3 linked regions of the Rattus norvegicus genome follow. The protein of the gene in region 3 binds, or shares a complex with, the protein of the main gene of each other region. Links are inferred from orthologs where the notes say so. Each region holds a gene or a part of one and is shown on either strand. Other genes may lie near its edges.

Region 1 (3,647 bases), on a different chromosome or scaffold from region 3:
AAAATACTGGCATCTCTCTTTCTCTCTGTCTCTCTGTCTGTCTCTCTCTTTCTCTTTCTCTCTATCTATCTGAGATTGGTTCTGCTAAAGGGATGCTCAAAATTAACTTTTTATATATAAAGTACACTGTCATTTCTACAAATGTAACTTTACAATTAAATGATCATGTTTTTACAAAAAAAAAAACAAAGAATTAAAATTTTCCTTTTACAATGCAGGCAGACAAAACAGAACAAACATGACGCCAATGATATACTAGTAAAATACACTACGTCCAATAAAAGATGGAGAAACTACAAGGAGAAACTAGAATGGAAAATAGGCTACAGGGACTATATGGGTTCATTAACACAAAGAATTTTTGAGTCTGGCCTAAAAAGTAATTGCCTTCGACATCATTTTGCTTTCCCTTTGTTAAGTACGTTTTCTCAAAGTCAGCAATACCTTGTCTACCTGTCCTGTCTGGGAGACTGAAAGATAAAGGTCTGTAAGAGAGAAGAATGGAAAGAGCTAGAAAGATCAGGATGTTCAGGAAAAAAGGAGGACTGACTTAAAAAGTAGTCACTAAATTCAGATCCATTTATCCACCTTAAGAATAACAACACGAAATACATAATTCCAACAAGTCTCCCACCCCACCCTCTACCACCCCCAGAATTCCTTATATTCCCTGGCAGATTACTGGGTGACTCTCAAGTTTCCCGAAACCCACCAACCTCCCAGCTTAAACCCTCTTTCCCAAAATCCCCAAAAGACAATAAACCATTTTTTCCTATCAAATCACCATAGATGAAAATACACTGTGCATGCCTTTGCCTCTCTCCTCCTTCAGGGTGGGCAGACCTGTCCTGTCTAGATAACTAGGAATTAAACTGGTCACTTTCTTCCATCACTGAAACTCCCTGCCTTAAAGACACCATATTTAATTATTAAAATAGTCACTATTGAATTATTAAAACAGGTAACCTAGATAAATTCATACTTTAAATGCTGTAAGTTAATTATATTCAGGGTGATTTTTCAAAAGCTAGAAGACAATCCTAAAACAGTTCATATGAATTTTAAAAATATGATCAATTCTTTTTACCAATCAAAATTTTAGTTATGTCTTCCTTGTTATTTTTGCTTTGTAATAATTTAAGAAGAAATTAATACTCTGCTCTCAAATCATTTTGGGTTAGTCTGTGGAGCTACATACCTGAAGTTAACTAAAAGAATTAAATAATTCAATTCTTGAAGACTTGAATATGAAAATATGAAGACTTGAACTTTAGTGTGTAGTCTTCCAACATTGAAAATATAGTTTAGTTAATGACAACATTCACAAAGTCAATATAATTTTAACACTATTTCAAGAAATAGGATGTAACATAATTTGGTGGTTTAATCCTTATCTGATTAAACCATATCTTCTTGCAAAGTACATACATATGTAAAACTACTAATCTGACAGAAAATAACAGCTGATTATATATATTAAAACATGGCCAAAGGATGACCACTAGAAGCATACATCAATATTTTAAACTATTTAAACAAGTTTAAGCCTGTGAAAAATATTTTTGCATAGTAATTTTATAAAACTATAGCATTCCCACCAAAAATATTAATTCTGCATCTTGCCACTCTCCATAGCTAATAAAAACTGTCTTATTAATATATTCTACTGGAAAAATAAAAAAAACAAAGATGCAGAATTTACTTCTTACCCATGACCTTTACAAATACTATACAAAACACTATGCAGAGCAAAAGGAAACAGGAGAATGAAAAGAAAAGGAAAGAAAGGAGGAAAGGAGGGACCACCACTGATAAGAAATGAGTCCCTAAAATATGAAAAACCAGCCATGTGACTAATGTGTGTTTACAGATTAGAGAGTTCACAAATTAAGCCTGTATTTTAGAGCAACCATTGAGGCATTATGTTATTGTGGCCTTGGCATTTAAACTACTAATGTAGTTTAGGGAAGCAATGCTGAACAATTTGCATACATTTCAAGTCAACATTTTAAAACTTTAATAAATTCAATAGCTTTTCTTTTACTGTGCTGAGTAATGTTGTAAATAAATATACTAAATAACACTGTTCTTTTCCTTGATCTAACACAAAACTTCTCTAATAATATACTGCATATTTTCTGCTTTCAAAAGTCATAATGTAAAAACAGGTGGTAGAACAAATGTGATACACAGTTACTTTATGGGTCCTGTCTTTAAGCTCTTCATCCCCATCACAAGCATCTCCTTTGGAGACCAATAGGGGTGGCCAAGTGAGATAAAAGAGAAATAGAAGTCTACCTTTACTTTAAAACACAGGAAAGTGTTTTTATAAGGAGCTTCAACTTTTTCTGGCTCATATCCCGCATTTTCTTCAATTAAAATGAGTATAAAAGTTTATCAAACTGAACTTTAAATATGAACAAGACATTTTCAGAACTCACCTGTTGTAAATTAATTTAGTGTATTAATCCTACTCCTTTGATAATAATATTGACTTGAAACTGACCTTGCACTAATAATCATGTGACTATGATTGCTGCTGTTGTGTTCTCTTTCCAATCTTGGTTATAGAATGTAAGAGTACCCTTAAAGGCTGGGTATGGTAATACATGATTTGAAATCCCAATACCCAGGACACAGAGACAGGTGGATCTCTGTGAATACCAGGACAGCACGGTGAGCCTGTCTCAAATAACAAGTCAAAGAGTGCCTTCATTAAATACAATACTGGATAAGGTATAGAGACTGCTCATGGGTCTAAACTTGTGCCCTAAGTAGCAGCCACCAAGATAATGGAAACTTAAACAGTCCGGTGCAGCACCTGCCACTGATCTGAAGTCTAGCTCTTGAGAGAAGTGACTAAAGTTCTAAAGTACAAATGTCCTTACTCAACCTATTGAGGCTGAATCTAACAGCACAGAGTTAGCCACAAACATGTTTGTTTCCATTATAGAATACAATAAAATGTATGTATTAACATATAAACTATAAAACTTAACAAACCTGTTACTGACCTTTGGGAAGGATCTAAAAAAGATTTAAGGAACTAAATTTCTTTGTCTCAATATGCAGTTTGACCAAACACCTATTATAAAACATGACTTGCTCAGAACAATTCTATTTCCTCTCCTTTCCCCCTTAAAACTATATTTGAAGGCAGCTACCACTGTGGTTAAAGAAATACATAAAGCTATTTAGAGATTAGCAGTCTTGGGACATTTTGACATACTGCAATGGGCTTACTCATTTTCTGAACCTGAATGGGTACTCAACTGTACCTAAGGATTGATACTGAAGGGCAAGCAGTGATGGCTATGAAGTCATAAATAAAAATAGCTCCTGGTCATGCTCCAAACCCTCACAAACCAGAGCATTTCCCAGTCTTACCTCAGATTTCTCCAGTTTATTTTGTGCATCAATTTGTGTGACAATCTCATTCATGTTGGTCTCCAATACCATTCCCCCCATCACCATTTCTGCAAGAATATTATGAACCTAAGAGAAAAAATTAATATAAACAGACGAATCACTACAAAAAGTTTCTTTGTTTTGGTAATCTTTGTTTTAAAAACTAGTGAAATAATTTGTAATGAAGGCTCAAAGTTCACTCTCATCGTACTATGAACTTCAGGCAATTACATGACCTA
Region 2 (3,747 bases), on a different chromosome or scaffold from region 3:
CGCTGGGTCTAATGGGACTCACTGATGGCTCCTCAGTGCAAATGACATAGCCCTTGTGATTAAGAGTAGATTTAAACCTGTGTATCAGAGCCAGGAGGTGGTAGCTTATGTCTTTAATTCCAACTATGGAGGCAGATTTCTGAGTATGAGGCCAGCCTGGTCTCAAGAGGGAGTTTCAGGACAGCCAGGGGACACAGAAAAACCCTGCTCATCAATGTAACATTTAATTCTAAGAATCTGAAAGAAAAAAAAAAAAAAAAAAAAAACAACTTGACCCAACACTTTCAAACCATTGTAACAAGCTATTGCATGAACTTGCACAACAAGTTTTTTCTCTTGGTTAGGCTTCCTGACACTGTGTTACCATAGCAACTGCTTGTCTAATTTACCTTTACATTAAAAAAAAAAAAAAAAAAAGGTGTTTTGAAGCCTGTCTGGTCCTGGGCAGAGGAAGCAGCCCATTGGAGTGAAGATTGTGGACATCCATTCTACAAGGTGCAAGAGGTGTAGTGGACATCCCAGCTGCATGATTTTACAATTAGAACTGTGTGTGTGGGGCACAGAACTAGTTATTGCTACTTTCCTCTCAGGATGAGTAGACTGAGTATGAGTCAGCTGTTATTCACACTGTCTTAAACCTTGTGTGCAGTGCTAGAGACCAAACCAAGACTTCATGCAGGCTAGAAAAGCACTCTACTATTCCGCTCCTAAACCTTTTTGAAGTAGCAATTCTGTACATCTGCCTCACAAACAAGAGAACAATGTGATGATCCAGTGACTCAGACCCATTTTCAAACCTAAGGCTAAGTGATCGACATTCCAATGAGGGAAACCTTTATGCTGTGGAGACAATGTAACTCCAACAATGTAGCTCCCACATCTGCGATTGGCCCTTGACCACAGCAGAAACCAGGTAGTAATACTGTGCATCAAATCTCACAGTCTAGGCTATTTCTAATAGCCCTGCTAAAAGCTCAAAGGTGAGGACTTTACAGTCACCCATGTCAGACACTGTAGATACTGGTTAAGACAGTGGAGAGACATGAGGCCAGCACACAAAGCACCATGGCATCTCACCATTCTGACAGTCACAGCAGAAAACACCAGAATCAGCCTGCAGGAAAAACTGCTGACCACTACTACTTGTGAAACAAGAACTACAACAGACTACTCCAACATGGGTTGTGGCATCAACTACTGGGCCCTCCAGTGACTTCTGGGACCAAATGCAGCTGACCCTTCCTTTCCTGACAAAGCAGCCACTTGCTGTTTGAATGGGAGAATTCCTTCTTGATGCAAGCAGATTCCCTGGCATTTAGTGTTTGTTATATGTGGCTAGACCACATAACATATGTACATTACAACCTGACATGGCATGACCATCCTGAATAGACAGCCAGAATCCTGTACTGGATCTGGCCTCTGTACCTGCATATTGCTCAGAGGCTGGGAGCAGGTTATTCCATGGGCAGGTTAAAGATTCTCCAATTCAGAATGGCCTTTTCTAATCCACCAAAAGCATAAAGGGAGTCAGCCAAGAGGCGAAATAACGCTCAAACCCCTCCAGAGGCCACTGGGCTCTAGAGTGCAGACCCCATTGCAGATCTCATCGAGGGTATGCGGGGCCAAATCACGGCTAATTGGGGATCACAGTGGGCATTCTGGGATCCCCTGAGATCCGAATATGTGTTAAATCCCAGCACCCGGTCATCAGTTCCGAGTCCCTGTCCGACACCTGTCCCTTTCCCTTCCCCCTTCCTACAACTTCGGTCCTCTAGGCCGACAGGAACAGGACTCGAGAGACAGAGGAGGAAGACCTCGACACCCGAGTGACCTTGACGCCGTCTCAGGGCCACCCGAGCCTCAGTTTCCCCAGGCCCAAGGCTCATGCCGTTTCTGAAGCTGCCGGTTAGCCTTTAAGAAGGGAAACTCCGTGACCCCCGAGCCCTGCTCCCCGCAACGGGCTCCCGGGCCGTGGAGCCTAGGAAGGGCGCAGAGAGGAACAGCAGGAAACCTGGCTTCCTGGAGAAGAGCCGGCGTCCTGGCCGGACTTCCGGGCTGCGGCCCGCGGCGGGCGGCCTGGCGTAAGGGCCGCGGAGTGGGGGAGGGCCAAGCGGCCGTGGGCGACGCGGGACTTGGGGGCGCCCTGATCTTCTGTCCGGCCTGCCGCCGAGCCCACTGAGCACAGACCTCAGGCCGCCCGACCAGACTCGGTCCTTAGCAGCCGCAGCCGAGAGCCCCGCGATTCCCACGATGACCAGCCCGTGGCCTCCCCAGCTTCGGCCTCAGAGAGCCCCGCTTCTCACCTCCGCGGCGGCTGCTCCCAGCCAGGCGTTGGTTTCGCTCCCACAAGATGGCGGCGCTGACGGCAGCCACGTCAGCGCCTGCCGCGGGGCACGCCGGGGGAAGAGGGCGGGCACGCAGGAGGCCCCGCCCCTTCACGAATAGCGCTTGCGCGTCTGCACCCTGACGCCTTCGTTGGGTGGAGCCAAAGTCGCTCTGTTTCCGGATCGGGTCCCGGGCTAGCACACCGGCTCCGGAGATTAGAACGCGCAAGGGTGTGGTGCATGGATTTCCCTGTCCTACGGCGCGTGCGCACGCGCATCTTCCTGCGGAATTCCAGCCCATTCCGCGGATGCGGGGGTTGAGGCCAGTAAGCGTTCTAGAGCGCCAAGGTCAGAGTGGGAAGGTCGTGTTACCCCTGGGAGTGTGATGTCCTTCTCAGAGTACCCCAGGGTCTCTGATACTTCAGCTGAGTCGGGGCATTGAAGAGAATGATGTAACAGACAAATGGCCAAAGTGGGAAGAAGCACAGGCCAAATGTCAGACAAACACCATGTCCCTACACTCGTCTTGGACCCGTGTGCACACTCAGAGCTGACTGAGAGGACTAGAGACCTGTGCGGGCATAGCACTGCCTGAGAGGCTACTCTGGGTTGCCCCTAATGGGGTGGCCTCCTTCAGGGTGCAGGAGAGAAGGTGGAATCCGTTAACTCTCCCCATCTGTGCTGGAGTGAGGCCCAGGTTCTGTCCTCCCTGTCCAGTTCTTCCACTCCATGTGCTGTTGTGAGGACTCCCACAGGCAGGAGATTTTGAGGGACTTAGGAGATTCTTTTGAGCCTGGAGCCTTATCTATTGAGTTGGCAGGAGGCAATTGTGTTGCCTGGGCTTACTTCAGCCACTGTTGTGTCAAGACACAGGGTGCAGGGCATCCTCACTGCGTTTGCGGGTTGAGACCTCTAGAACCCTCCCCAGAGTTGTGAGCCTGCCAGGATTCTATGCAATAATCACCTTCTTGACCCTAAACGCATCCCTTTCCATCACTCAGGGCTCCATTTTTAAATGCTGCTTCTGTAAATTTCTCTGGGGGCACCTGCCTGTTCTCTCCCACCCTCAGCACACAGCAAGTGTTTGTGAAAAACATAAGGTGGTGCTGCCTATACACACCCTGGAGAAATGGCAGGACGTTTCCAGAGGCCTGAGATTTCAGCCATGTCAGAAGCCTGTCTTAGCCACTTCATGGATAAGGAGACAAAGAAATGGGGTGTCTAGAAAAACCACAGGTTCATCAAGAACCAAACTCCCTTTCTGTACCTAAAAAGGCAAAACTGAAGAAGTAGAGACAGGGTGGTAGTCCTCTTTATCCTAATGTCACCCCTATACATTGTAGTCCTACTCAAAAAGTCACCTGTAGGGGCTGGGGATTTAGCTCAGTGGTAGAGCGCTTACCTAGGAAGCGCAAGGCCC
Region 3 (3,747 bases):
GCCCCCCCCCCCCGAAGTTAGAGTACAACCATCTCGAAAGGGCTGCAGAGATAGAGCAGACAAGGACTTGCTGCTCTTCTAGGGGACCCGGGTTTAATTCCCTGCATCCACTTGAGGCTCTCCATCCATAGCTATCGCCACCACACCTGGCAATAATTTTTTTTTTTTAAATACAAAGATCATCTCAGGCTACAGAGATGGATCAGTGGTTAAGAGCACTGTCTTCGGGCTGGAGAGATGGCTCAGCGGTTAAGAGCACCCGACTGCTCTTCCAGAGGTCATGAGTTCAATTCCCAGCAACCACATGGTGGCTCACAACCATCTGTAAAGAGATCTGGTGTATCTGAAGACAGCTACAGTGTACTCATATATAATAAATAAAATAAATATTTAAAAAAAAAAAAAAAAAAAGCACTGTCTTCTCTCCTGAGGTCCTGAGTTCAATTCCCAGCAACCACACAGTGGCTCACAGCCATCTGTAATGGGATGCAGTGATGCCCTCTTCTGGTGTCTGAGACAGTGACAGTGGATTCACATACATAAAATAAATAAATATTAAAAAAAATCATCTCAAGCTGGGCATGGTGGCATATGCCTTTGATGCCAGCACTCTAGAGGCAGGCAGATCTCTGTGAATTCAAAGCCAGCCTGGTCTACAGAGTGAGTTCCAGGATAGCCAGGGCTACACAGAGAAACCCTGTCTTGGTTAAAAAAAAACAAAAAACAAAAAACAAAAAAGATCACCTCAAAACAAAACTAAAACCCCACAAAACTTCCAAGTGCACATACCAGCATTTTAAGTACTTGTAAGGCAGAAGAGTTATAACCGCCAGGGTTATACAGTGAGACCTATGTCAACCAGAGTGTAGAGCAGAGAATGGTCACTGCATGACTTGTGCTACAAGCTTGGCCAGAAGGCAATGCACTACATCAGCACCTCCAAAGGAGAGTACCTGCAGTCCGCAATGAGCCGGATAACACGCACAGGAACTTAAAGATGGTCCCTGAGGAGGGACAGAGGACCCAAGCAACCTCAGACTGGCCAGCCATGTTGGTTGGGAGAGATGGTTCAGCTGTTAAAGGTAGACTCACAACCAAAATCTTAGCACCCAGCAGCAGAAGCCACATAGAACCTGAGGGCCTGGAGGGCTTTCTGTGCCCACCTAGTCTGCACTACTGAGCCTTGCATGTATGGCAGGGTAGGGAATATGAAGAGCAAAACACACACACCTCAAAATCAGTAATCCCGGCAGGAAGAAGGACAAGGCAGGAGTATCATGAGCTTCCAGCCAGCCCAGGCTATGTCCCTGGCTAGAGCTTGTTTCAGGTACTCAAATTAGAATGTGACCGGTCTCAGGGTCCCAAGACAGCTCCCTGGGGACACTGACAAGAGGGAAACCTGGAGGCCCTCGAGAGCACAGAGGGCCACAGAAGAGTACAAAGGAAATTTCACATAGGGCAGTCCATGCACAGGCCAACCACACACTGGCCAACCAGCTATTTCACCTGAAGTAACAGCCAGGGAGAGCAGGGAGGGTACAAACCAGACCAGGTAGGGTAGAAGGGAGAGGGCTACAGAGGGCTGACTGTCCCAGCCAGGGGCCTGCTTCCTGACCTCACATAGCAAGCAGGGGCCAGCAGGTACCTGTCACGGACACCCTCTTTCAGCATGGCCTTCCTGCCCCGGAGGAAGCCTGTCTTTCCACTGAGCCAGGCACTGGGCAGCCACTCTATCACTTCTTCCTTAATCTAGGTCACAGACTGTGGGGAGGAAAGGAAGTAATGCTCGTGGTCACAGCCTAACTTCTGGAAAAAAAATTGCTTCCACACCCTGACTTTTGCCTTTTTTGAGCTTCCAGTTTTAAAGTCAGGCTTCTCCATTCCAACACGCCCCTAGGTCCTGCAAACACTGATAGTTCAGGGGATCTGAGGCAGGGACACCTGGCAAGTTCCCAAGTAAGCCCAAGACAGCAACCTGGACCTATGTCCCCGGACAAGGGAATTTCTCCATGGGAGACACGTAGACCTATGACTTGATTTTTCTGTGAGGGTCCCGATTCCTCCATATGTGATCCAGAAACAAGCCCAAGTGGGAGAACCTTTGCCTAAGTAAATCTTCTCCAAGAAGGTAAACTCAGGCTCAAGCAGTGCACCCAACTGTAAGGCCTAAGACGCTTAGGTCTTATGACAGCGACTGCTCCAAGTGGACATTTGGGAGGCTCCGGGAGTGGACCCTAGTTATAACAGACGAGGCACCTGAGCCGTTTTGGACAGCATCCATTTCAAGCTGGTGGGGGTAAACAGAGGCCAGGGGAAGGAGAGGTTGTGCAGAGCCGCAGCTCCTAAACAGGCAGGGCCGGAATGGCGATGGGGTCGAGGAGGCTGCTCCAAGGCGGGCCAGAGGCTATAGGCTGTGGGGAAAAGCCGGGCAACCCCACTCCGCGCCGGCTCACCTCGTCCTCCTTGTGGTTGCGGATGCCGCGGACCAGATCCTGCAGGTTCTTGTCGAACATGCGGTCGATACTGCCCTTGACCATCTTGAGGGCCATCGCGGCGGCCCGTGGGCTGTGGCCTCCGAGGGGAACGCCGCCGCCGCGGCCCTGGGAGGTGCGGGGACCCGGCGACCGCACCTCAGGCGACCGCCCCGCTGCGTTTCCGGCCGCCGCGGAGAGGACGACGTGGAGGCCAGAGCGACGGCTGTGGCCGGAGACCAGTCTGAGGAGAAGGGGCAGCGAGTTAGCCCCCGCTTCCGCAGACCCTTCCCTGCTCAGGGCCACCCGCAAATGGCGGCCAAGATGGCGGTGGGTCAGCTGACGGAGAGCCTCGGCGTCCCGGAAGCCCCGCCTCACCAGAAAGCCCGACCCCACACATCAGTTTCCTTGACAACCATATACCGCCCAATAAGAAAGCAGACACCGCCCTTTGATGCCTGGCGGCCCACCCCTTCCTCTGCAGTGCCTTGCAACCTCATTGGTGAGCAAGCTCCCCACATACACGTTCTAACCACGCCCCTAAGGGAAAACCGCGAGCCAGCCTCCCCACTCAGCTAAATAACAGCAGTGGGCGTGGACAGGGTTGGAGTGGGCGTGGCTAGAGGAGGGCGGGGCTCCACGTGGAGCTTTTTCTGCAAGGTCCGGGTAAAGTATATCCAGCTCCTCCTTTTCTGAAGTGGTGACTTGGGAATTGGTGTCAAGAGTCAGTTACACCAGACCAGCAGTCTAACCGGCCGTCCTGTGCTATGTGAAACGCTGTCGGAAAAGACCAACACAAGGCTTGGATGGTGAACACCATGTAGGAGGAACTGTGGGGGGCAAGTGAGTTTTCCTGGAGATGGTCCACCGTTTTGGACAGCTGTGATGGGTGTTCCTGAAGAGGCACAGCCCCTGAGGCGGTCATCTCTAGATTACCTCTCGCTGCTGCTGTGCCGCCTCATGTTTGTCATTGCTATATGTCTCCTGTATCTACTACGATGTTAATGGGCATCTCTCCAGCCCTTAAATAGTTTTAAGATGTTAGGGTAGTTGATAGAAAGTTTAAAGAGATGGTTTAGGTTGTTTTGCCTTCTAGAAAGATATAATAGGGCTGGAGAGATGGCTCGGTGATTAAGAGCACTGACTGCTCTTCCAGAGGTCCTGAGTTCAAATCCCAGCAACCACATGGTGGCTCACAACATCTGTAATGAGATCTGATGCCTTCTTCTAGTGTGTCTGAAGACAGCTACAGTGTTCTCATATACATAAAATAAAT

What was found.
Region 1: the proteins of Ap3d1 (region 3) and Ap3s1 are in contact, whole or in part, in a cryo-EM structure (PDB 9C5C), measured with the Homo sapiens proteins. The link is inferred for Rattus norvegicus from reciprocal best matches to the Homo sapiens genes AP3D1 and AP3S1. Residues at the interface, in NP_003929.4 of Homo sapiens: Leu18, Gln19, Val22, Arg26, Cys60, Thr63, Tyr64, Gln66, Met67, Leu68, Gly69, Tyr70, Asp71, Ile72, Ser73, Lys87, Phe88, Thr89, Arg92, Ile93, Leu96, Gln100, His103, Tyr126, Leu132, Thr133, Ser136, Tyr161, Lys164, Lys165; in NP_001275.1 of Homo sapiens: Met1, Lys13, Pro14, Arg15, Leu16, Ser17, Lys18, Phe19, Pro22, Tyr23, Glu25, Asp26, Gln28, Gln29, Arg42, Asp43, Glu44, Asn45, Val46, Cys47, Asn48, Phe49, Ser80, Glu81, Ser82, Glu83, Leu84, Gly85, Leu87, Asp88.
Region 2: the proteins of Ap3d1 (region 3) and Arf1 are in contact, whole or in part, in a cryo-EM structure (PDB 9C5B), measured with the Homo sapiens proteins. The link is inferred for Rattus norvegicus from reciprocal best matches to the Homo sapiens genes AP3D1 and ARF1. Residues at the interface, in NP_003929.4 of Homo sapiens: Lys48, Asp50, Phe77, Ile80, Glu81, Ser84, Asp107, Met110, Leu111, Thr112, Thr113, Asn114, Gln115, Arg117, Lys118; in NP_001019397.1 of Homo sapiens: Tyr35, Ile46, Pro47, Thr48, Ile49, Gly50, Phe51, Asn52, Val53, Glu54, Trp66, Lys73, Ile74, Leu77, His80, Tyr81, Gln83, Asn84.

Annotation. Positions count from the first base shown.
Region 1 is NC_086036.1:41,708,296-41,711,942, reverse strand, and holds part of Ap3s1 (AP-3 complex subunit sigma-1), read right to left. Parts: intron 3,496-3,647; coding exon 3,388-3,495; intron 486-3,387; coding exon of another isoform or gene 450-485; exon of another isoform or gene 445-449; intron 1-444. UniProt on the Homo sapiens protein: Part of the AP-3 complex, an adaptor-related complex which is not clathrin-associated. The complex is associated with the Golgi region as well as more peripheral structures.
Region 2 is NC_086028.1:44,511,645-44,515,391, forward strand, and holds the start of Arf1 (ADP-ribosylation factor 1), read right to left. Parts: upstream 2,351-3,747; 5' UTR 2,307-2,350; exon of another isoform or gene 2,015-2,306; intron 1-2,014. UniProt on the Homo sapiens protein: Small GTPase involved in protein trafficking between different compartments. Modulates vesicle budding and uncoating within the Golgi complex. In its GTP-bound form, triggers the recruitment of coatomer proteins to the Golgi membrane.
Region 3 is NC_086025.1:9,620,033-9,623,779, reverse strand, and holds the start of Ap3d1 (AP-3 complex subunit delta-1), read right to left. Parts: upstream 2,786-3,747; 5' UTR 2,550-2,785; coding exon 2,454-2,549; intron 1-2,453. UniProt on the Homo sapiens protein: Part of the AP-3 complex, an adaptor-related complex which is not clathrin-associated. The complex is associated with the Golgi region as well as more peripheral structures.